4 linked regions of the Anolis sagrei genome follow. The protein of the gene in region 1 purifies or fractionates together with the protein of each later gene. This does not show direct contact. Links are inferred from orthologs where the notes say so. Each region holds a gene or a part of one and is shown in the gene's direction. Other genes may lie near its edges.

Region 1 (7,703 bases):
CTGTCCTATAGGGCCCCTGGATAGGAGCAACTCTGGATCCCTAAAACAAGCACTGTATTCTTGTAAAGATGGGATATTCTATAAAATATCCTATAGGTGGCCTGTCCTATAAGGTCTCTGCAGTGGGGCAACCCTGAACCCCCAAAGCAAACACAGTATTCTTGTAATGGTGGGATATTCTATAAAATAGCCTATGTAATGGTGGGATATTCTATAAAATAGCCTATATGTGGGCCGTTCTATAGGGTCCCTGCATAGGAGCAACCCTGGACCCCTAAAGTAAGCACAGTATTATTGTAAAGGTGGGATATTCTATACTATAGGTGGTCTGTCCTATAGGGTCCCCTACATAGGAGCAACCCTGAACCCCTAAAGCAAGCACAATGTTCTTGTAAAGGTGGGATATTCTATACTATAGGTGGTCTGCCCTATAGAGTCCCTGCATAGGAGCAACCCTGAACCCCTAAAGTAAGTACAATACTCAATGTGGAAGTGAGACATCTTAAAAATATCCTGCATAGGAGCAACCTGAACTCCTAAAGCAAGTACAGTACTCTTGTAAAGGTGGGATATTTTATACTATATCCTATAGGTGGTTTGTCCTATAGGACCCTGCATAGATGCAAGCCTGAACCCCTAAAGCAAGCACAGTATTCTTGTAAAAGTAGGATATTCTATATTATATCATATAGGTGGGCTGTCCTTTAGGGCACCTGCATAGGAGTAACCCTGGACCCCTAAAACAAGAACAGTATTCCTTTAAAGGTGGATATTATATACTAAATCCTATAGGTAGGTGTCCTATAGGGCCCCTGAATAGGAGCAACCCTGAACCCCTAAAGCAATACAATACTCAACATAAAAGTGAGATATCTTCAAGATATCCTGCATAGGAGTAACCTTGAACCCCTAAAGCAAGCACAATATTCTTGTAAAAATGGGACATTCTATATTATATCCTATAGGTGGGCTGTCCTATAGGGTACCTGGATGGGAGCAACCCTGAACCCCCAAAGCAAGTACAATACTCAAGGTGGAAGTGAGATACCTTCAAGATATTCTGCATAGGAGTAACCCTGAACCCCTAAAGCAAGCACAATATTCTTGTAAAAATGGGACATTCTATATTATATCCTATAGGTGGGCTGTCCTATAGGTTACCTGAATAGGAGCAACCCTGAACCCCTAAAGCAAGCGCAATACTCAAGGTGGAAGTGAGATATCTTCAAGATATCCTGCATAGGAGCAACCCTGAACCCCAAAAGCCAGCACAGCACTCACCTCTGCCCTCCTCCCACTTGTTGCTTTGACTCTCAGAGCAGAAACTGCAGCAGCAGGAGCAGCATCTCCAGGGAAAGGGAAGCCAAGCCTTGCTCCAGAGGCTCTCCTCCGCCTCCTTTGTGTCCCTCCGAAGCCCAAAGCGGCGTGCTTTGCCGGGGCTTCTCCCTCCAGGGGTGGAGGCCCCTCCCCGGGGCTGGACCGGGCTAAGCAGGCCGCCCCCCGTCCTCAGACCACCCTCCTCCTCCTGCCTGCCTCCCTTCCTCCTCCTCCTCCTGGCATTGGCTGCTGTTGCTTCTTCCTCTTGAGTCCCTGGCTGCAGCTGCACTGTGGGATTAATGCATGCAGCTTGGCACCTCTTGACCTGCATTGGCTCAAGGCTATGGGATCATGGGAGCTGTAGTTTGGCAAGGCACCAGCACTCTTGGCCAGAGGAGGCTGGAGACCTTGTGAAACTACAATTCCCACAATCCCATAGCATTGAGCCAGGGCAGTTGAAATGGTATCAAACTGTATTCTTTCTATAGTGTAAATATACCCACCATCAGGTGCTTTGCATCTTACTTCAAGGCTGGGAAAATAGGGGGAAAGCAACAACCACAACAACAACAACAACAACAAAGGCTCAGAAATAGAATCATAGAATCCTAGAGTTGGAAGAGACCTCATGGGCCATCCAGTCCAACCCCCTGCCAAGAAGCAGGAATACTGCATTCAAAGCACCCCTGACAGATGGCCATCCAGCCTCTGTTTAAAAGCTTCCAAAGGAGGAGCCTCCACCACACTCTGGGGCAGAGAGTTCCACTGCTGAACGGCTCTCACAGTCAGGAAGTTCTTCCTCATGTTCAGATGGAATCTCCTTTCTTGTAGTTTGAAGCCATTGTTCTGCGTCCTAGTCTCCAAGGAAGCAGAAAACAAGCTTGCTCCCTCCTCCCTGACTGCACTGACCATGTCATGTAAGATAACCAATTGCAGAGAAGGGAACCAATAGAATGAGCAGGAACTAGGCAGTGCTTCTTGTAGGTCAGAGAATGGTCCAGAGTGACTCCCAGGTATTATTTATTTATTTATTTACAGCTTTTATATTCCGCCCTTCTCACCCCGCAGGGGACTCAGGGCGAATTACAGTGTACACATACATGGCAAACATTCATTGCCAATTTTTGACATACAAACATATACAGACATACACAGAGGCTATTTAACTTTTTCTGGCCACCAGGGGAGCTGTCGCTTTCATTGTCCATCTGCGACACTGATGAAGTACTTCCGCATTCCTCGCATGCTTCCCCGCTGGAATGCTTTGCTGGAGTCTTCTTTATGGCCTCATAAATTAGTTAATTTAGCCTCCCCACACTTTAATGTGGTACCTAATTTTCCCACTTGACAGATACAACTGTCTTTCGGGTTGCAAAGGTCGACAACAGGCTACACACAATTGGTTGGAAAACCCACTCCAACCTGGGCTAGCTTCGAACTCATGACCTTTTGGTCAGAGTGATCTTTAATGCAGCTGACACTCAGCCAGCTGCGCCACAATCCCGGTATTTGGGTGTGCTGCAGTGCTCCAGTGGGATTCCTTCCCTGGTAATCCTCAGAGCTCGAAATGCTTGTCTGTTCTTAAGGTGAAAAGCACATGTCTGCATTTTAGATGGATTAGGAATCAGCTGGTTTTCCCTGTAATAGGTAGTAAGGCCACCTAAAGCTTTGGAGAGCTTCTGTTCAACGATTTCACAGCTCCCTGCTTGGGTGGTGATGGCATGATCGTCAGCATAGATGAAACTCTCTGTCCCTTCTAAACAGTATAATTTCTCCAGTGGTGTAGGGCGTAGACATCCTGTGATAATGCGGCATGTGTCCTTAAGAGCCACATCCACTGTTTTAACGTGATGGGATGTGTTCCACACTGGGCATAAGGAAAGGAAAGGGCCTGAGGTTGTTAGGAACTGTGGGAGTTGAAGTTCAAAACAACTCCCATGCCTGTTGTAGATGGACAGCACTGATCATGCTCTCATAATCTGAGGATTCGACCCTAGAATCATAGAATCAAGAGTTGGAAGAGACCTCATGGGCCATCCAGTCCAACCCCCTGCCAAGAAGCAGGAATGTTGCATTCAAATCACCCCTGACAGATGGCCATCCATCCTCTGTTTAAAAGCTTCCAAAGAAGGAGCCTCCACCACACTCTGGGGCAGAGAGTTCCACTGCTGAACGGCTCTCACAGTCAGGAAATTCTTCCTCGTGTTCAGATGGAATCTCCTCTCTTGTAGTTTGAAGCCATTGTTCCGCGTCCTATTCTCCAAGGAAGCAGAAAACAAGCTTGTTCCCTCCTCCCTGTGGCTTCCTCTCACATATTTATACATGGCTATCATATCTCCTCTCAGCCTTCTCTTCTTCAGGCTAAACATGCCCAGCTCCTTAAGCCGCTCCTCATAGGGCTTGTTCTCACCCTGACTCTGGAGATGTGAGTTCGAATCCTAGCTTAGCCACAGAAATCCAAGTCACACTCTCTCAGCCCCAGAGATAGGCAAAGGCAAACTTCGGACTTCAACTCCCAGAAGGCTCTCACATCGTGGCCAACACCCAGGAATTCTGGGAGATGAAGTCTCAGACAAAAGAATCCCTGCTTGTTGTGACTCTTATCAAAAACATATCTCTATGGGCAGAAGCGAACGTCGGTAAGCGTATGTTTAGGGCGAGAGTCACTGAGAAAGCTTTACTGCGCACGCGCAACTGTCTCCTGTATCTATAACCTTTACAAAGCGCGAACGTTGCAAAATCAGAGATGGAAGCATTAACGCGCATGCGTGAAGTCTAGTCCCGTTACTGACTCTATTGGGAGGAGTGAACGTTTGCTGACGTCATGGAGACAGGGTGAGGAAGGGCAAACTTCGGACTTCAACTCCCAGAAGTCTCCCACATCGTGGCCAACACTCAGGAATTCTGGGAGATGAAGTCCCAGACAAAAGAATCCCTCCTTGTTGTGACTCTATAAGTTATATCTCTATGGGCGGAAGCGAACGTCGCTAAGCGTCTTTTAGGGCGAGCGTCACTGAGAAAGCGTTAATGCGCATGCGCAAGTGTCTCTTTTATTTTTTACAAAGCGCGAGCGTTGCTAAATCAGATAGAAGCATTAACGCGCATGCGTGAAGCCTAGTCCCGTTACTGACTCTATTGGGAGGAGTGAACGTTTGCTGACGTCATTGAGACAGGGTGAGGAAGGGTTAGAGCGCATGCGTAAGTGATTGTTTGAGGCTGAGCGTTGGAGCGCATGCGTAAACTTCTCGTCTCTTTAGCGTCTGTTGGGACTCTCTGGAAAGGAGCGAACATTGGGTGGACGTATGTTTTACGTCGTGCGTCACCATCTACGTCATGGAGTAGAGCTGAGGGCGCATGCGCGGTTCAGTTGCGGCCTAGCCGGCGGTGTTGCGGATCTCCTCACGTTCTCACGCGCGGCCTTCGGAGCCTCTGAGGGAGAAACGCGTGCAGGGAAGCGGCGGGAGGCACGACTCGGCCGGGAAGGATGTCGGGGACGACGGGAGGTACGGCGGGCTCTGCTCGGAAGCGGCTGCTGAAGGAGGAAGACATGACGAAGGTGGAGTTCGAGACCAGCGAAGAGGTGGACGTCACCCCCACCTTCGACACCATGGGCCTGCGCGAGGACCTCCTCCGAGGCATCTACGCCTACGGTGAGCCGGGAGGGACAAGATTCTCATTCTGTCTCGCATTATAACCATCTATACAAACATAACAACAATAACACAGTCTACCGTTATATATTATTATATATTATCAGTAGTAACTATTATATTTAATATATTAGTATTGCTATATTACAGTAGGGCGGCATATAAATGTCATAAATGTTCATGTTTTGGGGTTTGATCTGTAAGTGGAAAGGGATGCTAAATGAATTTTAAATGGCTTTTCTAGGCTTTGAGAAACCTTCAGCTATCCAGCAGAGAGCAATCAAACAGATCATTAAAGGAAGAGACGTAATTGCACAGTAAGTACAGATTATTTAATTATTTAAACATTTATATTCCGCCCTTCTCACGTCGCAGGGGACTCAGAGCAGAGCACAACATATATACGGCAAATATTCAATGCTGGGATATAAAACCATAAATATATACAAACATTAAAGTCACTTATATTCAGATTAAAAGTTGCTTAAAAACCATCTCAGGACACCATTTTGCCTCATTTCACTGCCCCAAAGGCTTGGTCCCACAGCCAAGTCTTCACAATCCTTCTAAAGGACAGGAGGGAGGGGGCTGATCTAATATTGCCAGGAAGGGAGTTCCATAACTGGGGGGCAATCACTGAGAAGGCCCTGACTCTTGTCCCTACCAAACATGCCTTTGGTGGTGGCGGGACCAAGAGCAGGGCCTCCCCAGAAGATCTTAGTTTCTGCAGTGGTTCATAAAGGGAGATCTGTTCAGACAGGTAAACTGGGCCAGGGCCATTTAGGGCTTTATAGGCTAAAGCCAGCACTTTGAATTGTCCCAGTAGCAAACGGGCAGCCAGTGGAGCTGATGTAACATGGGAGTTGTGTGCTCCCTGTATGCCACCCCAGTTATTAACCTGGCTGCCTCTCATTGGACTGTTTGAAGCTTCCGAATCGCGTTCAAAGGCAACCCCATGTAGAGCGCGTTGCAGTAGTCTATCTTGGATGTAATGAGAATGTGAACCACCATGGACAAGTAATGTATATGGAAGTAAAATGAGGTCACTTTGGAATATTGCCATATTGACTATAAGAAAGTAAACGATTCTTGATGTTGTGTTTTACACCTTTGATGCCAATGACTACAGCAAATTTGTCAGATTAAATCCACCTCAGTTCAGTGGTCCTTGTTTAGTGTAAAATGTGACAGTGAATGTATCTTCTTGTCAACCATTGTATCTGTTTATGTTGAATCTTTTATTATATGACATGAAATCACAGTCACATTTAGCCACAGATCTAAATTAACTTGCAATATTCCTTTTATTCTATGACACCATTGAGTCTAAGATGCACACTAATTTCAGTACCACCATTTTCACCCAACTATATATATATATATATATATATATATATATAATATATAATCCCAACCATTGTAAGAAACACCACAGTTTTAGAGATGTTTATACAAGAGGAGAAGCAGGTCTTAGAAATGAAGAAATATAGTTCTATTTCCAGCTACAGTATCCCCATTAAAGCCATGGGTAATCAAGTAAGTCAGCACTTTGTATAGACTGATAATCCTTGATGAGAATGCATATTCTTTCCACAGCAGGAATGCCCTTGCTTTTCACACAAGAACCGAAAACTTAAGCCTTTTCTCCTCACCTGCAGGACAAGATTTTTTTTCTTGTGATTTTTGAATTTCTAGTTGATTTTTTTGTAATTGGCATAATTAGTTCAAATAACAAAGCTAAATGTAAATATTTAAATCAATATCAACAAAGCTGCCTTTTTCGTGAACTAAAAATCAGAGGGATCAAATCAAATATCAGCTTTGAACTATGAGGGTTAAAGTGGTATCAAACTGCATTCATTCCACAGTGTAGATCCATTCCACTCTAAAACCTTATCTGCCTTTTTGCTATTTAGATTTTAAATAACCACCTTGACCTACCTGGGTTGCTGTTTATTTTTTGTATTATTACAATTGTATTATTTCTGTGCAGTCAGTTGACCACATTTGCTGGGATTTAGAGGTACAGGGTCTCTTTTTGGATTTACTTCAACTCCCGCAATTCCTAACAGCCAGTTGTTAGGATGTGTCTTAATTTATACCTGTACTGTCTCTTTTTAGAAAGTATTTGAAGGCTAGACATCAGTATCTTAGTTTGCGAAGAGTTCAGAGGAAAATCATAGACCTTTTAATTCTACATTGTACAACTGCAGATGCTTGAGACACAGCGGATGATACCACGTGTTTGTATATTATTAACTTGTACAGTTTTATTATACTCTCCAAAGTAGACCATAACTTAAATTTGATTGTTAAACATAGGTTTTATTTGTAGAAGTTTCAGTTTCGAGAACTATTTCAATGTCATGATTGTGGAAGTAATCCTATATATATGAGTTGCCTGAGGGCTGAGAAGGGTGGTATACAAATACAGTAAATAAATAAATATAATGACAAAGGAATATATCTCATTGAGCTCAGTGGGAGCTGCTTCTGAAAAGACGTATAAATACTGTACTATAAAAGCCTAAATTAACCCCCCAAGTTCACTGTTAAAATGTTATTTTTAGCCATGAATTAATTAGAACGAAAATACTCTTAGTCCCCCATCTTTAATGCAGAATAATGAGCTACCAATATACTTTACATAATTCTTGGGAGGATTACTGAAATAATGTTCATCATATTTAGGAAAGTGTCATACAATTCACTGAAAGAGCCATCCCATGTGAAACA
Region 2 (7,998 bases), on another chromosome or scaffold:
TTATCCGCCCTGAGTCCCCTGCGGGGTGAGAAGGGCGGAATATAAATACTGTAAATAAATAAATAAATAAATATGTGTGGCTGTTTCTTAACTCCCTTCAGTACTGGCCAAAATTGGAGAAAGATAATGGGAGCTGTAGTTCAATATGATCTGGCAAAATATTCCTCATGCTGTTATTCATTTCAGAAAATAAATGGCAGCAGCAATTTTTTAAAAACTTTAATATTGAACCTAGTCACGAAAGTAGTTTACAGTTTGATTTTGACCCTGAAAATATACTTGAGTGCCACCTAGCTACACCTCAGGGTATTTCGGATAATCAATTATACATTCCTCTAGGATGGCTATGACTTGTCAAGCCCTATGAAATCCAAAATCAAGGTCACAACATCATCTGTTATAGAGCTCCAATATGGTGATGATAACATAGTCTGTGCACATTCAGAAGACCTACAAGCCACTCTAAACACCTTTTGCAGAAGCTTGGCTTGTCATTGAACAGTCACCAGCCAATCCCTCTGCAATGCCAGAAATACAACTAACATTAGAAAATGTTGACCTTTTTCACTACCTTGGCAGCCACCTCTTCACAAAAATCAACATTGACACTGAAATACAGCACCTCTTGAGCTCTGTGAGTGCTACATTTTTTCTGAAGCAGAGTGTGTTTGAGGATCAGGGCATCCATAGGGCGACCAAGGTGCTTCTTTATAAAGTTATTGTCCTCCCAACCCTGTTATATGTCTGCAAAATGTGGACTGTCTATAGACATCACACTCAACTCCTGGAACGATTCCATCAGTGTTAGCACTGAATGGCCTTGCAGCTTCAAAGCCCGGCTGCTTCATGCCTGGGGGAATTCTTTGTTGGGAGGTGTTAGCTGGCCCTGATTGTTTCCTGTTTGGAATTCCCTTGTTTAGTGTTACTTTTCTCCCACCCTCCCATTCCACAGATATATAAACCTCACTTGCTTAGTTTCCAACAGACCTCATAACCTCTGAGAATGCCTGCCATAAATGCAGGCGAAACACCAGGAGAGAATGCTTCTGGAACATGGCCATACAGCCTGGAAAACTCTCAGCAACCCAGTGTTTATTGACTGTTTACTAGTTATTATGTGTTTTTTTTAATGTTGTATATTGCCCAGGATCCCATGCAGGGCGAAAAGTGATACATCAATCAATCAATCAATCCAATAATAAAATGATGTTTACACAAACCAAATCACAGTTAGTTTTTGCATCCTAGCAAGCAATGACAACTAGGACTGTCTAATTCTGGTTCAAAATTACCTGTTTCCCAAGGAAAGGTGTTTAGCCACTGACATCACAGGTTCAGACACATTTTTGACAATTAGTTTTGTGAGTGATCCAAAACCAGCAATATTAGCTTCACAAAAGATTAAACTTCTTGTAAAACGCTGAACAGGGATGGTACCATATATTTTGCAGACTGTTTAATTATAGTTTTAAAACATAGTAAGCTGGCTCAAATAGTTGTTCAGAGCTCCATAAACGTATGAAGCTGTGAATTACCGTAAAGGCTGAACCTTTATCTTTGTCCTTTCTCTTGCGTGCCAACTCCACCTTATATATAACCAGATCATGAAATATGCTGCTTGAGGGATTCTGGGCGTTCAAAATTAACTTTCCCAAGCTCTACCCATTAAATGTGAACTGCTAGTTGTGGGATGTTGGGAGTTGCAGTTCAAGAAGTAATTTTTCCAGCTCTCCTCATTAAACTTGAACTGGGGAACCTGAACCACTGGTTGGGTGGGTATGTTCTGGAATCTGTAGTTTAAAAAGGAACTTTCTCAAGAGCCACCCATTAAACTGGAGAACATGAACTGCTGGTTGAGGGATTCTTTATTTGTAGTTCAAAAAGAAACTTTCTTAACCTCTGCCCATTCAAATTGAGATGGGAAACTTGAATTGCTGGTTGAGGGATTCTAGGAGGCATAGTACAAAAAATAGCTTTCTCGTGTTTTGTCCATTCTACTTAAATCGGGGTACCTGAACTGCTAGTTGGTGGGTTCTGGAAATTGTAGTTTCTCAAGCACTGCCCGTTCAACTTGAACAAGGAAAGCTAAACTGCTGGTTGGGGGATTCTAGGAGTTGTAGTTTCTCAAGCACTGCCCATTCAACTTGAACTGAGGAAGCGAAACTGATGGTTTGGGGAATTCTGGGAGTTGTAGTTTCTCAAGCACTGCCCATTCAACTTGAACTGGAGAGGCTAAAATGCTGGTTGGGGGATTCTGGGAATTGTAGTTCAAAAAGTAACTTTCTCAAGCGCTGCCCGATAAAACTGGGGAAGTTTGGTTTAAATTCAGCCAAAATGGAATAAAAACAACAAATAAAGAACGGAAAGTAGATTATGGCCCACATGCCACAGATTTCTGGTGGATACTATCTGTGTATTGTTGGGTGGGATTCTTGCAAGGCACACTAATCTAGACAGACCCAGATCTTATCCAGCAAGACACTTCTGAAGTTCTTACATGCTTAAAGCTCAAACACACACACAATCCCACTTAACACAGTTTTGTCATGCCTTCTCTGTGAAAAGATGGTGGTCATTTATGCCTCTTTGTTTCAAACAGATCGGCAGGCCACGAAAAGTCTAGTTAATATATTTACCGTGTATACAGCCCACCCATCACTGCAGTTGGACCACCCCAGTTGCACAATGTGGATTTCTTTTTCTTTATGCTGGGAGACTGGAAAATCTCTGTTGGTGTACAGACCGAAGAGTAAACAAGAGGGTCAAACAGCTGTAAAACTGTCATAACAAAAGGACAACACAGCTGCTTTGAAAAGTACACAAGAGATCAATTTTCTGCCCATCAGCATTAAATTACATCCTCTCTCAATTTTTAAATGCTCTGCATCAGAATAGTCATTTTGTTCATATCTGAACTCTCTAGTAATAGCTGCGTAATCTTTTTTTCTGGCTGGTTTAATGACTTCCTCCACCCCCCAATTCAAGTTCAATGGGGAAAGTTTAAGAAAGATACATTTTGAATTACAATTCATAGAAACTCCCAACCAGCAGTTCAGGTTTTCCAGTTCAGTTTCAATGTGCAGAGCTTGAGAAAGTTTCTTCTTGAACTACAACTCCCAGAATCCCCCAACTAGCAGTTCAGGTTCGCTAGTTCAGGTTTAATTGGCAGAGCAAGAAAATCCATCTATATGCACAAAGACACAGCTCTTGAATGGCATTGTCTGCTTTTCCTTATTATATTAAGAAGATCCCAAATATAATAATAATAATATCCCAGGTGACAGCAGGATTGAGAAGTAACTGGAAAAGCTTACACCAGTGTTTCTCAACCTTCCTAATGCCGCAACTCCTTAGTACAGGTCCTCATGTTGTGGTGACCTCCAACCATAATGTTATTTTCGTTGCTACTTCATAACTGTAATTTTGCTACTGTTATGAATTGTAATGTAAATATCTGATATGCAGGATGTATTTTCAGTCACTGGATTAAATTTGGCACAAATACCCAATACGCCCAAAATTTGAATACTGGTGGGGTTGGGGGTGATTCATTTTGTCATTTGGTAACGCTGGAGTTGCTGGGATTTATAGTTCACCTTAAATCAAAGAGCCTTCTGAACTCCATCAATGATGGAATTGAATCAAACATGGCACACAGAATTCCCATGACCAAGAGAAAATATTGGGAAGGACTGGTGGACATTGACCTTGAGTTTTTGGAGTTGTAGTTCACCTATATCCAGACTGTGGACTCAAGCGATGACGGATCTGGATCAAACTTGGCACAAATACTCAATATGCCCAAATGTGAACACTGGCAGAGTTTGGAGAAAATAGACCTTGCCAATTGGGAGTTGTAGTTGTTGGGATTTATAGTTCACCCACAATGAAATAGCATTCTGAACCCCACCAATGACAGAATTGGACCAAACTTTCCACACACAACCCCCATGACCAACAGAAAATACTATGTTCTTGTGGGTTTTTTCGGGCTATATGGCCATGTTCTAGAGGCATTTTCTCCTGACGTTTCGCCTGCATCTATGGCAAGCATCCTCAGAGGTAGTGAGGATGCTTGCCATAGATGCAGGCGAAACGTCAGGAGAAAATGCCTCTAGAACATGGCCATATAGCCCGAAACACCCACAAGAACCTAGTGATTCCAGCCATGAAAGCCTTCGACAATACAGAAAATACTATGTTTTCTGGTGGTCTTTGGCGACCCCTTTGACACCCCCTCACGACCCCCACAGGGGTCCCGACCCCCAGGTTGAGAAACACTGGTTTAGACGATATGAGAATTTAAAGATTGAACTGCAAAGACTCTGGCACAAACCAGTCAAAGTGGTCCCAGTGGTGAATGGTACACTGGGTGCAGTGCCTAAAGACCTTGGCCTGCACTTAAAAACAATCAGCACAGACAAAATTACTATTAGCTGCAAAAGGCCACCCTACGCGGATCTGTGCGCATTATTCACTGATACATCCTAGACACTTGGGAAGTATTCTCACGTGTGATCAAATACAAAAGCCAGCATAGTGATCTTGTTTGCTGTCTACTAATCTTGCTATGTATCAAATCAATAATAATAATAATAATAATAATAATAATAATAATAATAGAGTGGAGCATGGTTTACAAGCCCCAAAGTCTTATCAGCCACATTAATTGTGGGTGATAAGACTTTAATGCGATTGGACCATTGGATCATCCTTGGTCCTGAGTTCAAATCCTTCCACAGACAAGACCCTTTTCTAGATTCCTTAAACAAGCTATATCCCACGCTCTAGTTTCTCTCTCGCGAGACAACAGGGGTAGTCTCACGAGAGCTCGCGGTTTCAAGTGAAGCCGCTCGAATCTTTCCTGGATGCCGCCATCTTGCCTCGGTAAAGCCACCAGAGGAGGTTTGTGGCGGTTTTCCGGGCTTTTATAAGGAAACGGTGGTCCCCACGAGGCGGGGAAGGAGGCTTGGGCTGGCTGTGCTTTCCCCGCTCCTTTTCTGAGGGACTCGGGCTCTCGGCCTTGCTTCCTTGGCTTTGTCTCCCTCTCAGAAAAGGCTTGGGCCTAGGAGTAGGAGGCGGCGGCGGCGGCAAGATGGCGGTGGAGTCTCGCGTTACTCAGGAGGAGATCAAGAAAGAGCCTGAAAAGCCCATCGACCGCGAGAAGGTAAAGAGAAAAGAGCCAGAAAGGGGAGGAGGGACAGACTACCTCTGAGGATGCTTGCCAAAATGCCTCTAGAACATGGCCATATAGCCCGAAAAAAACTACAACAACCCAGTGATTCCGGCCATGAAAGCCTTCGACAATACAATGAGAGAAAGACTGAAGGAGATAGTAAGGAATACAGAGAAAGAGGCCCCTTCCACACAGCTGAATAAAATCGCACATTAACTGCTTTGAACTGGGTTATATGGCAGGGAAGACTCAGGGCCCTATATCCCAAGGGCCCCATATCCCAGAATATCAAGGCAAAACAAACCCACATTATCTTGGATATCTTTGAACTTGGATAACCCAGTTCAAAGCAGATATTGTGGGTTATTCTGCCTCAGTATTTTGTGTGGAAGGGCCCAGAGAGAAACGAATGGGAGAGAAACAGAAAGGAAAAGAAAGAACACCTCCACAGGTTACCTGTTCCTGCAGAATTGATCACTATAAACACTGTATTGTTGAAGGCTTTCATGGCTGGAATCACTGGGTTGTAGGTTTTTTCGAGCTATATGGCCATGCTCTATTATTTATTTATTTATTTCAATCACTTATACCCCGCCCTTCTCACCCCGGAGGGGACTCAGGGCGGCTTACAGGGGAGGGCACAATTAGATGCCCGAACACATAACAAGTAATACAAAAAATAACAATTCAACACTTAAATTAAAACATCAGTACATAGTAAAAACCTAAAACAGTCTCATGTCAGGGTCCATATATCAGAGTCCATAAGTCCGTCCTATTCCGTTTGTCTTGTCTATTCCCAGGTCCTTGATTTAATTGTCAGAGTGACCAAAAGCTTGGTCCCACATCCAGGTCTTTAGTTTTTTCCTAAATGTTAGGAGGGAGGTCGCCGATCTGATCTCCCCAGGGAGTGAGTTCCACAGGCGGGGGGCCGCCACTGAGAAGGCCCTGCTCCTCGTCCCCGTCAGCCTCGCTTGAGAGACTGGCGGGGTCGAGAGCAGGGCCTCCCCAGAAGATCTTAAACTTCGAGGTGGGATGTAGAGGGAGATCCGTTCGGACAAATGCTCTAGAGACATTCTCTCCTGACGTTTCGCCTGCATCCTCAGAGACCTCACAACCTCACAACAGATCCAGGGAAGTCATGCTACCCATGCTCTATTCTGCATTGGTCAGACCACACCTGGAATCACACTGTGTCCAATTCTTGGCACCAAAGTTGAAGGGAGATATTGACAAGCTGGAATGTGTCCAGAGGAGGGCGACTAAAATGATCAAGGGTCTGGAGAACAAGCCCTATGAGGAGCGGCTTAAAGAGCTGGGCAAGTTTGGCCTTCAGAAGAGAAGGCTGAGAGGAAACATGATAGCCATGTATAAATATGTGAGAAAAATATCACCTCAACAAAAGTTTGCTCCAGGCACTGTCAGGCCATTTTATGCTAATCAAGGTGGTCAGTTGAAACATTCACAACTAGCTCCAACAGACAAGAGTTCTTTGTCCCACCCTGGTCATTCCACAGATATATAAACCCTTTTTCCTAGTTCCAACAGACCTCATTACCTCTGAGGATGCTTGCCATAGATGCAGACGAAACGTCAGGAGAGACTGCTTCTAGAGCATGGCCATATAGCTTGAAAAAAACCTACAACAACCTAACTATAAATACTTCTGAAAAATGTATTCCAGTTTTATTAGAATTTAGTATCTTCCATGATAAATGACCTTTGAAAAGAGAATATAATAAAAGGATCCTAAGGGCCCTTCCACACAGCCCTATATCCCAGAATATCAAGGCAGAAAATCACAGAATATCTGCTTTGGACTGGGTTATATAGCAGTGAGGACTCGGGGCCCTTTTACACAACCCTATATCCCAGAATATCAAGGAGAAAAACCCACATTGTCAGAGAGTGGACTCAGATAGCCCAGTTCAAAGCAGATATTCTGGGATATAGGATTGTATGGAAGGGCCCTTAGGTAACCCGGTTCAAAGCAGATATTTTGGGTTATTCTGCCTCAATAGTCTGAGTTATATGGTTGTGTGGAAAGGGCCAGAGAGAAACGAATGGCAGAGAAACTGGAAGAGAAAAAACACCTCCACAGGTTACCTATTCCTGCAGAATTTACTGCTATAACACTTCTGAAAAATGTATTCCAGTTTTATAGGAATTTAGCATCTTCCACACAGCCCTCTATTCCAGAATATCAAGGCAGAACATCCCAAAATGTCTGCTTTGAACTGGGTTGTATGGCAGTGAGGACTCGGGGCCCTTTCACACAACCCTATATCTCAGAATATCAAGCAGAAAAACCCACATTGTCTGAGAGTGGACTCAGATAACCCAGTTCAAAGCAGATATTGTGGAATATTTTGCCTTGATAGTCTGGGATATAGGGTTGTGTGGAAGGGCCCTTAGGTAACCCAGTTCAAAGCAGATATTGTGGGTTATTCTGCCTCAATATTTTGTTTGGAAGGGTCCAGAGAGAAATGAATGGGAGAGAAACAGAAAGGAAGAGAAAGAACACCTCCACAAGTTATCTATTCCTGCAGAATTTACCGCTATAAACACTTATGAAAAATTTTATAGGAATTTAGCATCTTCCATGATAAATGACCTCTTTTAAAAAGAGAATATAATAAAAAGATTCCAAGGGCCCTTCCACACAGCCCTATATCCCAGAATATCAAGGCAGAAAATCCCACGATATCGTATTTGAACTGGGTTATCAGAGTCCATACTGGCATATATTCCAGTTGAAAGAAGATAATCTCAATCTCCGAGAGGGTTCATAGGGGGAGATAAGTTCGGACAGGTGTGTGTAT
Region 3 (7,391 bases), on another chromosome or scaffold:
TTTGTTTCATGCAAAAACTGGCAATTTAGTGAAGTACTATGAGGAACCTACATCTTTAAGTTGCTAAAAGTACATTATGTGATTGGATCCTTTTTAAAAGTCTGAAAATTAATTTGAGATCTATAGTAGCAATTATAGAGAACAGTTTGAAATAAATTTGAATTCACATGACTCTGTCAGCATAGAAAACTATTTACATGCCATACTTCTGGCAGGCCAGTCAATTTTAAATTATAAATTGTAACTTTACATTTGGTTAGTATTGGTGTTTTAATTTTGTTCTCTCTCTCTCTCTCTCTCTCTCTTTCTAGTATTGTGTTTTATCTGTGTGTTTTAACCATGTTGTATTCCCATCTCAAGCCACAGATAAAAGAAAAAAATCATTTATATTTTTATGTCTTATTTGGATGAAAAGTGTGATAAATAATTAATAAATAAAAGAAAAATAAAGCACTAAGACTCAAATAACAATTGTAGCCCATCCATATATGGATTTACTGGAGAGAAGGATTTTAGAGGCAAAGAATAAGTACTTTGGCCAAATAATGAGAAGACAGGAAAACTTGGAGAAGACAGTGATGCTGGGGAAAATGGAAGGAAAAAGGAAGAGGGGCTGACCAAGGACAAGATGGATGAATGGTATCCTCAAAGTGACTGGCTTGCCTTTGAAGAAGCTGGGGGTAGCCATGACCAACAGGGAGCTCTGGCATGGGCTGGTCAATGAGGTCACAAAGAGTCAGAAGCGATTGAACAAATAAACAACAACAACATGGATTCAACCTGCAATTTGCATTGGGTTGCTATAATTCATATTTGACTTTAACTTAACGGCTATCATATGCATGAGAGACCCCCAAAAGCCCCGCCCAGGAACTGCTCTGATGAGTTCTTGCCAAGTCAAGAGTATTCTCTTTCTTGATTGAATCAATCCACTTGCAGTCTTCCTCTTTCAAAGCACCACATTAGCACATTAGCAAAGTACCCTATTAACTGTATTTGCAACTGAGTCAGACTGAGAAGTTGTTTCCTTAGTATAGAGCTGTGGTTTCCAAATGTAAGTTGCAAGGTTTATTTCATGGTAGGTATATTCATTTGAGTTTTATATGTTTTTTTAAAGTATTTTAATGATGTTTAATCTGCTTTTAATTGTTTTTTGATATTAATGTAAATATTTTAAATAGTTTTGGAAGTTGCCTTGTGTCCCACTCCAGTTGAAAAGCATTATAAAATGCAGCAAGCAAATGAATCCAGATGTTTGTCTACCTCCTTGCTTAAGTGTCAATTATTTTTTCTGCTTACCAGAGCCTTCAAAGCAGTGTACAATGAAATGATAATTTAGAAACAGAAGCATCACATTCAACATGCACACACAGAGAGACTAAGCACAATAGTAAGAGCCCAAGATGTTACATAGTGCATGTAAGAAATTTAACAAAAATGGACGTAGCCTGACTTCATTTGGGAGAAAGTTCTACCAATGCAATAGCGACCAACAAAAAGCCTGGCCTTGTATTTCTTACCAACCTAATATCCAGTGTTTAGATAATTCCATCAGGTGCTGGTCTGTGGTGCATTTCCAGGGGACTATGTTATAACAATAGGGCAAATATATACCAGCGACACACTGAAAGAGTGCCAGCCTGCCATATCACATAGCTTCAAAAGTGCTGAATTAGGCATCATCACAACCATGGATGGCAATAGTTTAAAGAGCACATAGAATGATAATTGAAGCAAGTTCATTCCTGCCTTTTCTAGCTTAATAGAAACTAGAGGTGTGCCTATACTGTAGAATTAATGCTGTTTGACACCACTAATGGTCATGGCTCAGTGCTATGAATTTATGGGAGTTGTAGTTTGGTGAGGCACCAGCATTCTTTGGCTGAGAAGGCTAAAAACCTTGCAAGACCATATGCCCAATTCCATAGCATTATGCCACTAAAGTACAGCTTCCTGCAAAACAATTAACTTCAAAACAGAGACTTGCCTACTGAAAAATAAGAATGAAACAAAAGGCAAGTGTGGGAAAGTGGGGCCTTCCCAAAGTGAGAAAGGATACTATTTATTATTTATGTATTTTTTCATATATTTGTATCCCGCTCGTTGTTCATTCGTTCAGTCGTCTCCGACTCTTCGTGACCTCATGGACCAGCCTACGCCAGAGCTCCCTGTCGGCCGTTACCACCCCCAGCTCCCTCAAGGTCAGTCCAGTCACTTCAAGGATGCCATCCATCCATCTTGCCCTTGGTCGGCCCCTCTTCCTTTTGGCTTCCACTTTCCCCAGCATAATTGTCTTCTCTAGGCTTTCCTGTCTCCTCATGATGTGTATCCCGCTCTTCTCACCTTAAAAGGGGACTCGGAGCATCCTTACAGCAGGCAGCTATTTGATGCCAATACATACGAATATAAAAATAAATAAATACAATTAAAACCATACAATTAAACATTAATTATTAAAACATCAATTAAAATCCAGTAATCAAGATTGTAGTCCAAGGATTGTCCAGTTGTCAATTCCATTAGTCCGTTATCTTTATTATACTATTTACTGGTTGAATGCTTGGTCCCACTGCCACATCTTGAGCTGACCTGATTTCATTGAGTTCACAGATGAGGAGCCATCACTGAGATGGCCCTGTCGCTCATCCCTACCAATCGAGCTTGTGAAGGTGGTGGGATCAAGAGCAGGGCCTCCCCAGATGATCTTAACTTCCAAGGTGTTTGGACAGATATGCTGGGCTGGAACTGTTTAGCTTTATAAGCTAGCCAAAGCCAGCACTTTGAATTGTGCTTGTTAGCAGACTGGCAGCCAGTGGAGCTGGCATAACAGGGGGGTTGTGTGCTTCCTGAACGCTCCTCCAGTTAGAAACCTGGCTGCCAACCTTTGGACTAATTGAAGCTTCCCAACAGTTTTCAAAGGCAACTCCACATAGAGCATGTTGCAGTAATATATTCAGTATGTAACAAGAGCATGGACCACCGTGGCCAAGCCTGACTTCCCAAGGTATGGGCGCAACTGATGCACAAGTTTTGATTGTGCAAAAGCTCCCATGGTTACTAATGGTTATTTAGTCAAGCCGTCGTGCAGAAATCCATTTAGCTGTCTAATGTTTTCAAATCTCCAGTGAAGATACTGTATTGTGTCCTGCCCATAAATCATAATCTAACCCAGGGTTCCTCAAACTAAGGCCCAGGGCAGGATACGGTCCTCCAAGGTTATTTACCCGGCCCTCGCTCAGGGTCAACCTAAGTCTCAAACTACTTGAAAACACAGAACAATAACAACAACAATCCTATCTCATCAGCCAAAAGCAGGCCCACACTTCCCATTGAAATACTATTAAGTTTATATTTGTTAAAATTGTTCATCATTTTTAATTATTGTATTGTTTTTAATTATTTTTTGCACTACAAATAAGATATGTGCAGTGTGCATAGGAATTCATTCATTTTTTCCAAATTATAATCCGGCCCTCCAACAGTTTTGAGGGACTGTGACCTGGCCCTCTGTTTAAAAGGTTTGAGGACCCCTGATCTAACCAGTGGAAATAAGGGATGATGGGAAATGTAATCCCACAAGATCCTACATGTCCTTTATTCCTATTTAAAAGCACAGAAGCAGGTTCTAGCATATAGTTCACTGTGACTCCCGATAGCTGGATTCTAAATTTGTCTATTCAAAATTAAGCTCTACAGGATTTGAGTGGACACTCCCAAGGTGTAGCTACATTAGATTTAATTCAGTTTCCCACCATTTTGACTATTATGGCTCAATGCAGTGGAATCTAGGGATGCTTAGTTTGGTGAGGCACTAGCACTCTGGGACAGAGAAGGCTGAAGACCTTGTAAAACTACTACTTCCAGAATTCCATAGTATTGAGCTATAGCAGTTAAAGTGGAGTCGAAGTGCATTAGTTCTACAGTGTATCGGGTATGGGCAAACTTGGGCCCTCCGCTTAAGCGGCTGAGGGGGAAAAGGAAGGGACCCGAGGCTGTTAGGAATGATGGGAGTTGAAGTCCAAACCCCCTGGAGGGCCCAAGTTTGCCTATGCCTGGTGTAGATGCACCCTACATGGCGTGCCAGAGAAAGGCCTAAATCTGTCTCCCTCCCGCGCCTCTGTGTAGGCCTCGCCGAAGCCTCCCTTCACAGAGATTGCCATGGTAACCGCGCCCTTGCCTGCAGTCAGAGGCAGGAGAAAGGGGGAGGGGCTACCGCTCGTGTGGGCGGAGCTGGGTTTCGAAGATGTCGATCACTGAAGACACGGCTTCTCATTGGTGGGTAGGCTCTTCACGTGACTCTATGGGCAGGACGCATATAAATACAAGACCGTGGCGTTGCCGTCCGCCATTTTGTCCAGTACGAAAGAGTCGAGGGTGGTTAACAGCTCAGGCCTTGGCGGGAAAGAAGGCGAGGCCGAGCGCGCTTTAAGGGCCGAAGGACAAAGAGAAAGAGGCGACGAAGGCAGGAAAAGAAAAGGCAGCGTGAGAAGCCCTTGGCGCTCCTGGCCCGGCAGCCGGTGAGGGAGGGAGGGGCGCGGGCGGGGTGGCAGGCCTCGCGGCCCTGAGGGCGGACAAAGAGCCGCCGCCATTTTGTGGAGCAGAAGTAGTAACGCCAGGCCCCGGTCGGGGGGTGGGGCCCTGGGTGGGAGGGAAGGCTTGGCTCCTTCGGCACGGGGGGCTCTTTCTTACGCACCTACCATTAAAAAGAGAAGGTCGAAGAAATGGATGCCGAATTCTTCCTACTTGGGCGCCAAGCGGCGTTAATTACAAGCCGTTATTTTCCTCATCCGGCCAGCTGTAATTTCCCCACCGATGAGCAGCATTATTTTCGACAATCGACGCAGGGGATTTTCAAGTTGTTTTTTTTTGTGAAACATTTCAAATGCAGAAAAGTCACCCTATTTATTCATTTGCTGCATTTGGGCTTTCCGAACTCACATTAGCGGCTTCAGGAAAGAGCATTTTATGGCCCTACCTACATTGCCATTGTTTGAAACTGCATTATATGGCCAGTGTAGGCTCGTTCGGTGCAGTTAAACAGCATTATGTGTAGATGGGCCTTTATCTGTAGGCTGACGAGTGTTTATAATGAACATCCTGCCTTAAAGTGGGGCCTCTGGCCCTGTCTTGTTTTGGACGTTAAGCAGGGTCACCCCTGTGGAGCCCCCGGTGGTGCAGTGGGTTAAACCCCTGTGCTGGCAGGACTGAGGACCGACAGGTCGCAGGTTCGAATCCGAGGAGAGGCGGATGAGCTCCCTCTATCAGCTCCAGCTCAACATACGGGGACATGAGAGAAGCCTCCCACGGGGATGATGAAAACATCAAGTCATCCGGGCATCCCCTGGGCAACGTCCTTCCAGACGGCCAATTCTCTCACACCAGGAGTCACTCCTGACACGACAAAAAAAAACAAACCCTGGTTAGCACTTGGTTGGGAGGCTTCCAATGAATACTAAGTGCTTTAAGACAGTGGTTCGCAACCTGTGGGTCCCCAGGTGTTTTGGCTTACAACTCCCAGAAATCCCAGCCAGTTTACCAGCAGTTAAGATTTCTGGGAGTTGAAGGCCAAAACATCTGGGGACCCACAGGTTAAGAATCACTGCTCGATCATAAAACATGGGGAAGGTTTATTAAACTGCAAAAACATCCTGTATTTCATACAGTAGGACCCTTCCCTTATTTTCAAAAGGCCATTCACTGCAAACTATATTTGTCCCTCTCTTTCCCCAGCAATATATGTGAGCACTGTAATATCAGAGTATCTGAGAATCTAGCTCAGTGGTTCTCAACCTGTGGGTCGCCAGGTGTTTTGGCTTACAACTCCCAGGAATCCCAGCCAGTTTACTAGCAGTTAAGATTTTTGGGAGTTGAAGGCCAAAACATCCGGGGACCCACATGTTGAGGACCACTGCTTTAAGGTATGTTTCAGAGAATGAATTGGCAAACCACCTCTTGAATGTATTGTCGAAGGCTTTCATGGCCGGAATCACTGGGTTGTAGGTTTTTTTTGGGCTATATATGTTCTAAAGGCATTCTCTCCTGACATTTCACCTGCATCTATGGCAAGCATCCTCAGAGGTAGTGAGACCTCACTACCTCTGAGGATGCTTGCCATAGATGCAGGCAAAACGTCAGGACAGAATAGCTCTAGAGCAGTGGTTCTCAACCTGTGGGTCGCCAGGTGTTTTGGCCTACAACTCCCAGAAATCCCAGCCAGTTTACCAACTGTTAGGTTTTCTGGGAGTTGAAGGCCAAAACATCTGAGGACCCACAGATTGAGAACCACTGCTCTAGAACATGGCCATATAGCCCCAAAAACCTACGACAACCCACCTCTTGAATATTCCTTCCCCCAGAAGAACAGTATGTAATCCATGGAGTTGCAACCTGGATGTGTCAGTGTGCATTTGATGGTTAGGTCCCTGTTCATGAATGCCCAGACCTAATTGAGGGATAGGTTGTACTCGGCACTTTACCCCCAGCGCTTGCCCTATATAGAAGAACTTTATTTTTCAACCCCGCCTCCATCTCCCCAAAGGGACTCGGGGTCCCAAGACAGAATACAATTAAAAACAAAGTAAAACAATTTAGACAACATAAAACAGCGAAAACAACATCCTCACTACTTCTGAGGATGCTTGCCATAGATGCAGGCGAAACGTCAGGAGAGAATGTCTCTAGAATATGGCCCTATAGCCCCTAAAAACTTACAACAACCCAGTGATTCCGACCATGAAGGCCTTTGACAATACGTAACAATAATAACTAGCAACAACTATAACAGCAGACTAACTTTGGAGGGGGGGGGGACTATAGTCTGCTTTTTGCACGAGCCCATGCCCAGCCCTCACTAATTCTGATTATTTCCACTGTATTTCTGGTCACTGATTGTCGAGGTTTACTTTCTATAAATTTCAATTAAGTTTTTATACCCTGCTATTTTTAATTGATTAATTGGGTTGTGATACGTTACTATGTTTATAATTATGTTTTAGTTGGTAAACCGTGTTGTCTCTGGGCTTGGTCCTGCATGTGAGTCGCCCTGAGTCCCTTTGAGGAGATGATGGCAGGGTATAAAAATAAAATAGTTATTGTTATAACATAACTTGAAGGCACATATTCTGAAATGAACAGTCAGATTTATTCATGCTACATTTCCCCACTGGAGTGAACATCACAGGATTTAGTATGTGCTAATAGTGGAAGCTTGACAACATTTTTTACTTGATCATGTTGTAGAGATGCATCGTGACTCGTGTCCGCTGGACTGCAAGGTTTACGTAGGTAACCTTGGGAACAATGGCAACAAAACGGAACTGGAACGGGCTTTTGGCTACTATGGACCTCTGCGAAGTGTATGGGTGGCTAGGAATCCCCCTGGCTTTGCTTTT
Region 4 (7,158 bases), on another chromosome or scaffold:
CAATTTGGATGACTAATAAGCTAAAATTCAATCTAATCAATATGGATTTATCATTTACTAGCCGTCCTCTGCCACGGCTTGCTGTGATCTAGTCTGTGTATATGTGATTTTTGTGTATATATGTGTATATATTTGTGTATATGTGTGTTTGTGTATGTGTGTGTGATTTTGCACATGCATTGTAATGTATTTTTGGGGTTGTTGGTTTTTTTTTGTTTTTTTTTTTTTTTGCTTTGTAAGCCCTTCCGCTGTGTTTTTCAGTGTTTTATGAGTGATTGTCACTTGTTGGTCTGATACGTGTATTGTGTCCAAATCTGGGGTCAATTCATCCAGTGGTTTTTGAGTTATGTTAATCCCACAAACAAACACTACATTTTTATTTATATAGATTTGCAGAGGTGTTCCTCCCATTGGGAAAGATGTCAAGGTTTTAAGTTAGTGTGTTTCTTTGAAGGTAGTGTGTTTCATTTTGTGACTGGTCATTAGAAAGTAAACACAGACATAATTTGCAAGTGTGATTACCAGGGCATGCATCTGAGGAAATCTCATTTAGGAGAGTATATGAATTAATCATAATCACATTAACATTTTATCCAGCCCTGCATCACTATGGTTAGTATAACACTTTCTTAGCGGCCTTGTTTAAAATCACATCTCAATCACAAAGCTACCAAGAGACAAAGACTCAAAATCATTACTCTGTAAAAAGGTCATGAGTTCAAAGCCAGCCCAGATCGGAGTAAGCTTCCGACTTCTGTGTAGCTTGCTATCAACCTTTGCAGCCAGAAAGACAGTTGCATCTGTCAAGTACAAAATTTAAGTACCGCTTATGCGGGGAGGCTAATTTAACTAATTTACGATGCCATAAAATCTCCAGCAAGTAAGCAAAAAAGAATTAGGAAGTACTCAATCAGTGTCAAAAATGGATGGTGAAGCGACAGCTCCCCTGGTGGCCAGAATACTCTCATGAAAGCTGGAAAGTTAATTAGCCTCTGATTGTCTGTCAGCTTATATTTATTAACATTCCAGCTTTTTTTTTGATGAGGGTATTCTGGCCACCAGGGGAGCTATCGCTTCACTGTCCATTTGTGACACTGATGGAGTGTTTCCTCATTCTTTGCAGGCTTGCTGGAGATTTTTATGGTGTCGTAAATTATTAAATTACCCCCCCCCCCCCCCCCGCATACGCAGTATCTAAATTTCCTACTTGACAGATGCAATTGTCTTTTGGGCTGCAAAGGTTGACAGCAAGCTGGCTTCGAACTCATGACCTTTCGGTCAGTAGTGATCTTAATGCTGCTGACTCCCCGCCGCTGTGCCACAGTCCTGGTGCGGTAAGGCCCCAGAGTTCTTTGGCAGGGAAGTGGTAGCCCTTGCAAAATTGCAAACCCCATGGATTCCACAGCACTGAGCCAGGGCAGTTAAAGGATGCTTCTACAGTGCAGAGGAAGCTGGTGTAGGCATGCGGAACTGAATTGCTTCCCGGGCCTTGGCACTCTTGGCTGACCAGCCTCTCTTTCAGCCTCTCCTGCCTCGCAGGGTCATTGTGGGGAGGAACACTAGGAGGGGAGGGCCATTGCTAGAAGGCAGATGGGATGGAAAAGCAGCAAGCAGCCCCATGGCGGCAGCCGTGTCCCACCCCCAGAGCCAGGCCTCTTCTAGGACCCACAAAGGGATAGAAAGGGCAGGCATGGCTCAGTCCCTGCAAAACGCAGCCTTTCTTTGGCTGCTGCTCTGTTTCCTTTTACCTGGATGGGCTTTCTCCGCCTGCAGCCACCCTCTGTCCCCAGCACTGACTTCCCCTCCTCCTCCTCCTCCTCCTCCTCCTCTTCTTCCTGGCCTGGCAGCTGAATGTGCTGGCACTCTCTGCAAAGAGAAAGCATGTCTTGCTCTCTGTCTCTCTTGCAAGGCTCCTCCCTGGAAGCCTTCCCTGGAGGGACTGCTGGCAATTCAGAGAGAACCAATGGACCGAAAAGGGTGCCTCGGCTACACTGTAGAATGAGTGCGGGTTGACCCCACTTGAACTGCTCTGGCTCAATGCTATGGAATCAAGGGAGCTGTAGATGTACAATGTCTTTTGCTTTGTACATACTACAACTCCCCAATGCTGCATAGCATTGAGCTAAGGCAGTTCAAGTGGTGCCTTTTTTCATGTCAGGAGTGACTTGAGAAACTGCAAGTCACTTCTGGTGTGAGAGAATTGGCCGTCTGCAAGGACAGTAACTTCTGGTGTGAGAATTGGCTGTCTACAAGGACGTTGCCCCTGGGACGCCCAGTTTTACCATCCTGTGGGAGGCTTTTCTCATGTCCCCGCATGGGAAGCTGGGGCTGACAGACGTGAGCTCACCCTACTCTCCAGATTTGAACTGCCAACCTTTCGGTCCTCAGTCCTGCAGGCACAAGGGTTTAAACCATTGCACCACCAGGCCAAACCGTACTCATTCTAGTGTAGGCAGTGGTGGGTTGGGTCTAAAAATATTGGTTGCCAGGAGACAAAGGGGGCCTCACCCCTAAAAGTTCCGAGCCTATATAACATATGGGTCGGCCTCATAACCCAAGTCAGAATAATTTTTTCAGAGTTTTTAAAAATTATATTCTTAAATTTGTTCTTTCAAATCAGTGGTTCCCAACCTTTTTTTGGCCAGGGGCTACTTTGACCAGGGACCACTCTCCAACATTAGTACCAAAGAGGTTATGAATCAGTTTTTGCTCAATTTTAGATTCGGTTTGGTTATTTGAAGTGCTGATAAGAGAAAATTGCATTGGCTAGACCTCATCAGCTCTCGTTTCTGATACAGAACATACGCTATCCAGTAGTCACCATCAGCTCAGCTTCAGAAAACCGTATTTAATAGAGCTGATGTGGTAGTGGTAATGCTTTGCGGGTAGTCAGCCTCTCCCCTCCTGACAGCTCAGTTGCCTCAGCACTATAAGAGGGTTTTGCAAGACCAGTTTTGCAAGACCACACTGCTGTGTGGTTTCGAGGCAACTGTGTAGTAATGGTGATGCTGTGGACCATATTTTCATTCTTCTGGACCACTGGTGGTCCACGGACCACATGTTGGGAACCACTGGAAGATTACTTGCATGTGGAAAACATACTTGCACATGGAACGTATACTTGCACGTGGAAGATGTACTTGCACGTGGAAGACATACTTGCACATGAAAGGCGTATTTATATGTGGAAGGCGTACTTGCAAAGGGAAGGTGTACTTGCACATGAAAGATGTAGTTGCACATGGAAGGCGTACTTGCACGTGGAAGATGTATTTGTACGTGGAAGGCGTATTTGCACATGGAAGGCGTACTTGCACGTGGAAGACGTACTTGCACATGAAAGACGTATTTGTACGTGGAAGGCGTACTTGCACATGGAAGGCATACTTTCACGTGGAAGACGTACTTGCACATGAAAGACGTATTTGTACGTGGAAGGCGTACTTGCACATGGAAGACGTATTTGTACGTGGAAGGCGTATTTGCACATGGAAGCGTACTTGCACGTGGAAGATGTACTTGCACGTGGAAGGCGTACTTTCTTGCACGAGCGTTTTTTGGTCCCAATTTTTAGAAATAAGTATACAAATAAATAAAGATGCATCGATTTAATATTTATATTCCACATCTCCACCCTCCCTCCCCAAAAAAGGTCTCAATAGCTTCTTTGCAGGATTTGGGTTCCTTTCAGGGGGAATCAAAAGGATTGTAGTGGTGACTGCCATGAAGAAACGCACTGCTGACTTCCAAAGAACAGTTGTTGCCAGTTTGAGAACCATAAACAACAACAAAACAAACTCAGAAGCCTTGGCGCCCCACCAAATCTCTTTCCCTTCACCCTCCTTCCACAAGTTCTATTCGTTTCCACACGAGGGCATTAATTTGTCGACGATCCCTTGATCGTCCTCTGTTCTTTTTTTTCCCCTTTCTTTTGCTCCGGAAAAGCTTCCCTTTGTACGCATGCGCACTTGTCGTAGCCGGAGAGAGCAGCGCGGGGCCAGAAGGGACCGGAAGAAGCGTGCGCGCGGGCCGGAAGGGGAGCAGGCAGGCGCGCGCGCAGTTCCTCGCACACGGCTTTCAGTGGGCGTTTTTTTTTCGAAGCGTCGAAGGCCTCCTCCTCCGGCGAGCGCGCGAGAAGTGTCAGTTGCGCATGCGCCCTGGACCTCTTCTCTGTCTGTCTGTCTGTCTGCCTGGCTGCCGGCCTCTTTCCCTCCTCTCTCTCTCTCCCCGGCCGTTGAGGAAGAAGGACCATGTCGCGCAGGCGGCACAGCGACGATAACGACGGTGAGCGGGAGCGAGGGAGGAGAAAGGAGGAGAAGGGGGTGGGAGTGGGAGAGAGGGAGGCCTGGCCCTCATGGCCTGAGGAAGCTGCCTTTCTTCGATAGGGGCTCCCAACCTTTCAGGTATGGGGGGACTTCAACTCCCAGAAGCCCCAGCCGTCTTCGCCAACCGAGAGGAATCCCGGGAGTTGAAGTCCCAACTTAGCCCCTGGGAGACCAAAGGTTGGGAAGTGTGTCTGGTCTGGGGGGCCAGTATTGTCGTTCTCCATGGGCATCTTTCTGAAGAAAAAGCCTGGCCTGTAGGACCTTTGACCCGTTTATTTCACGAGAAATTAGTTCAAACGCGTTTTGGAAATGGGAACTTCAGTTGTGTCCAACCTCTCAGTACTTCTCACAGTGACTTGGAGTTGTTGTGAACAAGAAGCGTGCAAGAACGTATGCCAGCATGTAGTAGTAGTAGCAGTAGTACAGCAAGATACTGCACTTGTAAACACTTGGCAAGGAATGCAGTTATTTCTAATAGTCAACACAGATTTATCTAAAACACGTCATGCCAGACTAATCTGATCTCTTTTTTCAATAGAGTTACAAGCTGAGGTTGGTGGGGACGAGGAGCAGGGCCTTCTCAGTGGTGGCTCCTCACCTGTGGAATTCGCTCCCCAGGGAAATTAGGTCACCAACATCCCTCCCCTCATTTAGAAGGAAATTAAAAACATGGATTTGGGACCAGGCCTTTGGGTAATCTGGCAGCAGACAAAGGACTAGTGACGACAACTGATGGACTTGACAGTGTGGAATTGAATTTATGAACTCTGAGTTGGCAAACGTTGAGCATTAGATTGGTTTTATAGATTTATTTATTTATTTATTTGCTTTATTTCTATACCGCGTTTTTCAGCCTAATTAGGCGACTCAATGCGGTTTACACAATGCAGGTTATCACAACAATAAACAGTTAAAAACACATCATACACAACAACAAAATCAACAATTATTATCAATTCATGACGCCTCGATAACAGAGCAAAATCCATTCTCATAATCCTTGTGCCATTTCTATGTTCAATTTTACCGTCTTCCTGTGTTCAGTTGCACTGTTTAGCCAAACGCTTGCTCGTAAAGCCAAGTCTTAACCTTCTTCCGAAACGCCAGCAACGAAGGAGCCTGTCTGATGTCTATAGGTAGGGCATTCCATAGCCGAGGGGCCACCACCGAGAAGGCCCTGTCCCTCGTCCCCGCCAACCGTGCCTGTGACGCAGGCGGGACCAGAGCAGGGCCTCCCCGGACGATCTTAATGTGTGATTTTGATGTGTGATGTATAATGGACTGTTTTAATTACTGTTTACATATGTTTATTTTTACCTTGTTGTGCCGGCATCGAATTGTGCCTTTTGTAAGCCGCCCTGAGTCCCCCCTCGGGGGGTTGAGAAGGGCGGGGTAGAAGTGCAATAAATAAATAAATAAATAAAGCTGGATAGACACAGGGAACACTATTGGTGTAGCGTACCTGGATTTCAGTAAGGCCTTCGACAAGGTCCAATATAACCCTCTGGCAAACAGACTAGTTAAATGTGGGCTAGGCAAAACTACAGTTAGGTGGATCTGTAATTGGTTAGGTGAAAGAATCCAGAGGGTGCTCACCAATAATAATAATAATAATAATAATCTTTTTTTATACCCTGCCACCATCTTCCCAACGGGGATTTGGGGCGGCTTACATGAGGCCAGGCCCAACAGTGCATTACAATAAAATAAAAACAAAGCACATAACAGACAACACAATAAGCTTAATAAAACATAAGAATACAATAAACAATATAAAATACAATGAAAAATCATTCGCAATCACAGTGACAATGAGCAGGCCACATTTACAGATAAAATACTAAAAGCTCAGCATGAGATAGGAGTGGAGCAGATTATTTGTGAGGGAGAAGTTGTAAAAACAGGCCTTCAAATAGACAGGGGGAAGTGTGCTATAGGCACAAACATTGAGTGGGAGCAACAGTGTGTAGTTGTATGGTTACTCTCCAAAAGCACAACGGAAAAGCCAGGTTTTGAGATTCTTCTTGAAGGTTGCTAAGGTGGGTGCTTGCCTAAGCTCACTGGGCAATGAGTTCCAGAGTCGAGGAACCACAGAGGAGAAGGCTCTCTCCACTGCTTCCTCTTCATCTTGGAAAGAAGTGACGAGAGGAATGCCATAAGCAAGATCCCGTCCTGGTCCCAGGCCTGTTCAACATCTTTATTAATGACTTAGATGAAGGGTCAGAAGTCATGATCGTGACGTTTGCAGGTGACACCAAATTGGGAGGGATAGCTAGCCATTACTCCAGAAGACAGGAGCAGAATTCAAAACGATCTGAACAGGTTAGAGAGATGGGCCAAAACTAGCAAAATGAAGTTCAACAGGGACATATGCAAGATACTCCATTTAGGCAGAAAAAATGAAATGCAAAGATACAACATGGGGGACACCTGGCTCGACAACAGTACATATGAAAAAGATCTTGGAGTCCTGGTGAACAATAAGTTAAACATGAGCCAACAGTGTGATGTGGCAGCTAAAAAAGCCAATGAGATCTTAGCCTGCATAAATAGGAGTATAGTGTCTAGGTCCAGGGAAGTCATGCTACCCCTCTATTCTGCCTTGTTCAGACCACACCTGGAGTATTGTGACAATTCTGGGCACTGCAATTGAAGGGAGATATTAACAAGCTGGAATGTTTTCAGAGGAGGGTGACTAAAACGATCAAGGGTCTGGAGAACACGCCCTATGAGGAGTGGCTTAAAGATCTAGCCATGTTTAGCCTACAGAAGAAGAGGCTGAGAGAAGACATAATGAGGGCCATGTATAAATATGTGAGGGGAAATCACAGGG

Evidence for each region.
Region 2: the proteins of EIF4A3 (region 1) and SAP18 fractionate together in Homo sapiens (co-fractionation; 3 studies listed by BioGRID and IntAct, with this or other methods). This does not show direct contact. The link is inferred for Anolis sagrei from reciprocal best matches to the Homo sapiens genes EIF4A3 and SAP18.
Region 3: the proteins of EIF4A3 (region 1) and SRSF3 purify together in Homo sapiens (affinity purification with mass spectrometry; 3 studies listed by BioGRID and IntAct, with this or other methods). This does not show direct contact. The link is inferred for Anolis sagrei from reciprocal best matches to the Homo sapiens genes EIF4A3 and SRSF3.
Region 4: the proteins of EIF4A3 (region 1) and NCBP1 purify together in Homo sapiens (co-immunoprecipitation; 3 studies listed by BioGRID and IntAct, with this or other methods). This does not show direct contact. The link is inferred for Anolis sagrei from reciprocal best matches to the Homo sapiens genes EIF4A3 and NCBP1.

The regions. Positions count from the first base shown.
Region 1 is NC_090021.1:21,907,399-21,915,101, forward strand, and holds the start of EIF4A3 (eukaryotic initiation factor 4A-III), read left to right. Parts: upstream 1-4,605; 5' UTR 4,606-4,801; coding exon 4,802-4,967; intron 4,968-5,211; coding exon 5,212-5,284; intron 5,285-7,703. UniProt on the Homo sapiens protein: ATP-dependent RNA helicase. Involved in pre-mRNA splicing as component of the spliceosome. Core component of the splicing-dependent multiprotein exon junction complex (EJC) deposited at splice junctions on mRNAs.
Region 2 is NC_090023.1:28,525,408-28,533,405, forward strand, and holds the start of SAP18 (histone deacetylase complex subunit SAP18), read left to right. Parts: upstream 1-4,842; 5' UTR 4,843-5,095; coding exon 5,096-5,167; intron 5,168-7,998. UniProt on the Homo sapiens protein: Component of the SIN3-repressing complex. Enhances the ability of SIN3-HDAC1-mediated transcriptional repression. When tethered to the promoter, it can direct the formation of a repressive complex to core histone proteins.
Region 3 is NC_090024.1:187,254,195-187,261,585, reverse strand, and holds the start of SRSF3 (serine/arginine-rich splicing factor 3), read left to right. Parts: upstream 1-4,332; 5' UTR 4,333-4,517; intron 4,518-7,239; 5' UTR 7,240-7,241; coding exon 7,242-7,391. UniProt on the Homo sapiens protein: Splicing factor, which binds the consensus motif 5'-C[ACU][AU]C[ACU][AC]C-3' within pre-mRNA and promotes specific exons inclusion during alternative splicing.
Region 4 is NC_090022.1:150,976,449-150,983,606, reverse strand, and holds the start of NCBP1 (nuclear cap-binding protein subunit 1), read left to right. Parts: upstream 1-4,018; 5' UTR 4,019-4,250; coding exon 4,251-4,284; intron 4,285-7,158. UniProt on the Homo sapiens protein: Component of the cap-binding complex (CBC), which binds cotranscriptionally to the 5'-cap of pre-mRNAs and is involved in various processes such as pre-mRNA splicing, translation regulation, nonsense-mediated mRNA decay, RNA-mediated gene silencing (RNAi) by microRNAs (miRNAs) and mRNA export.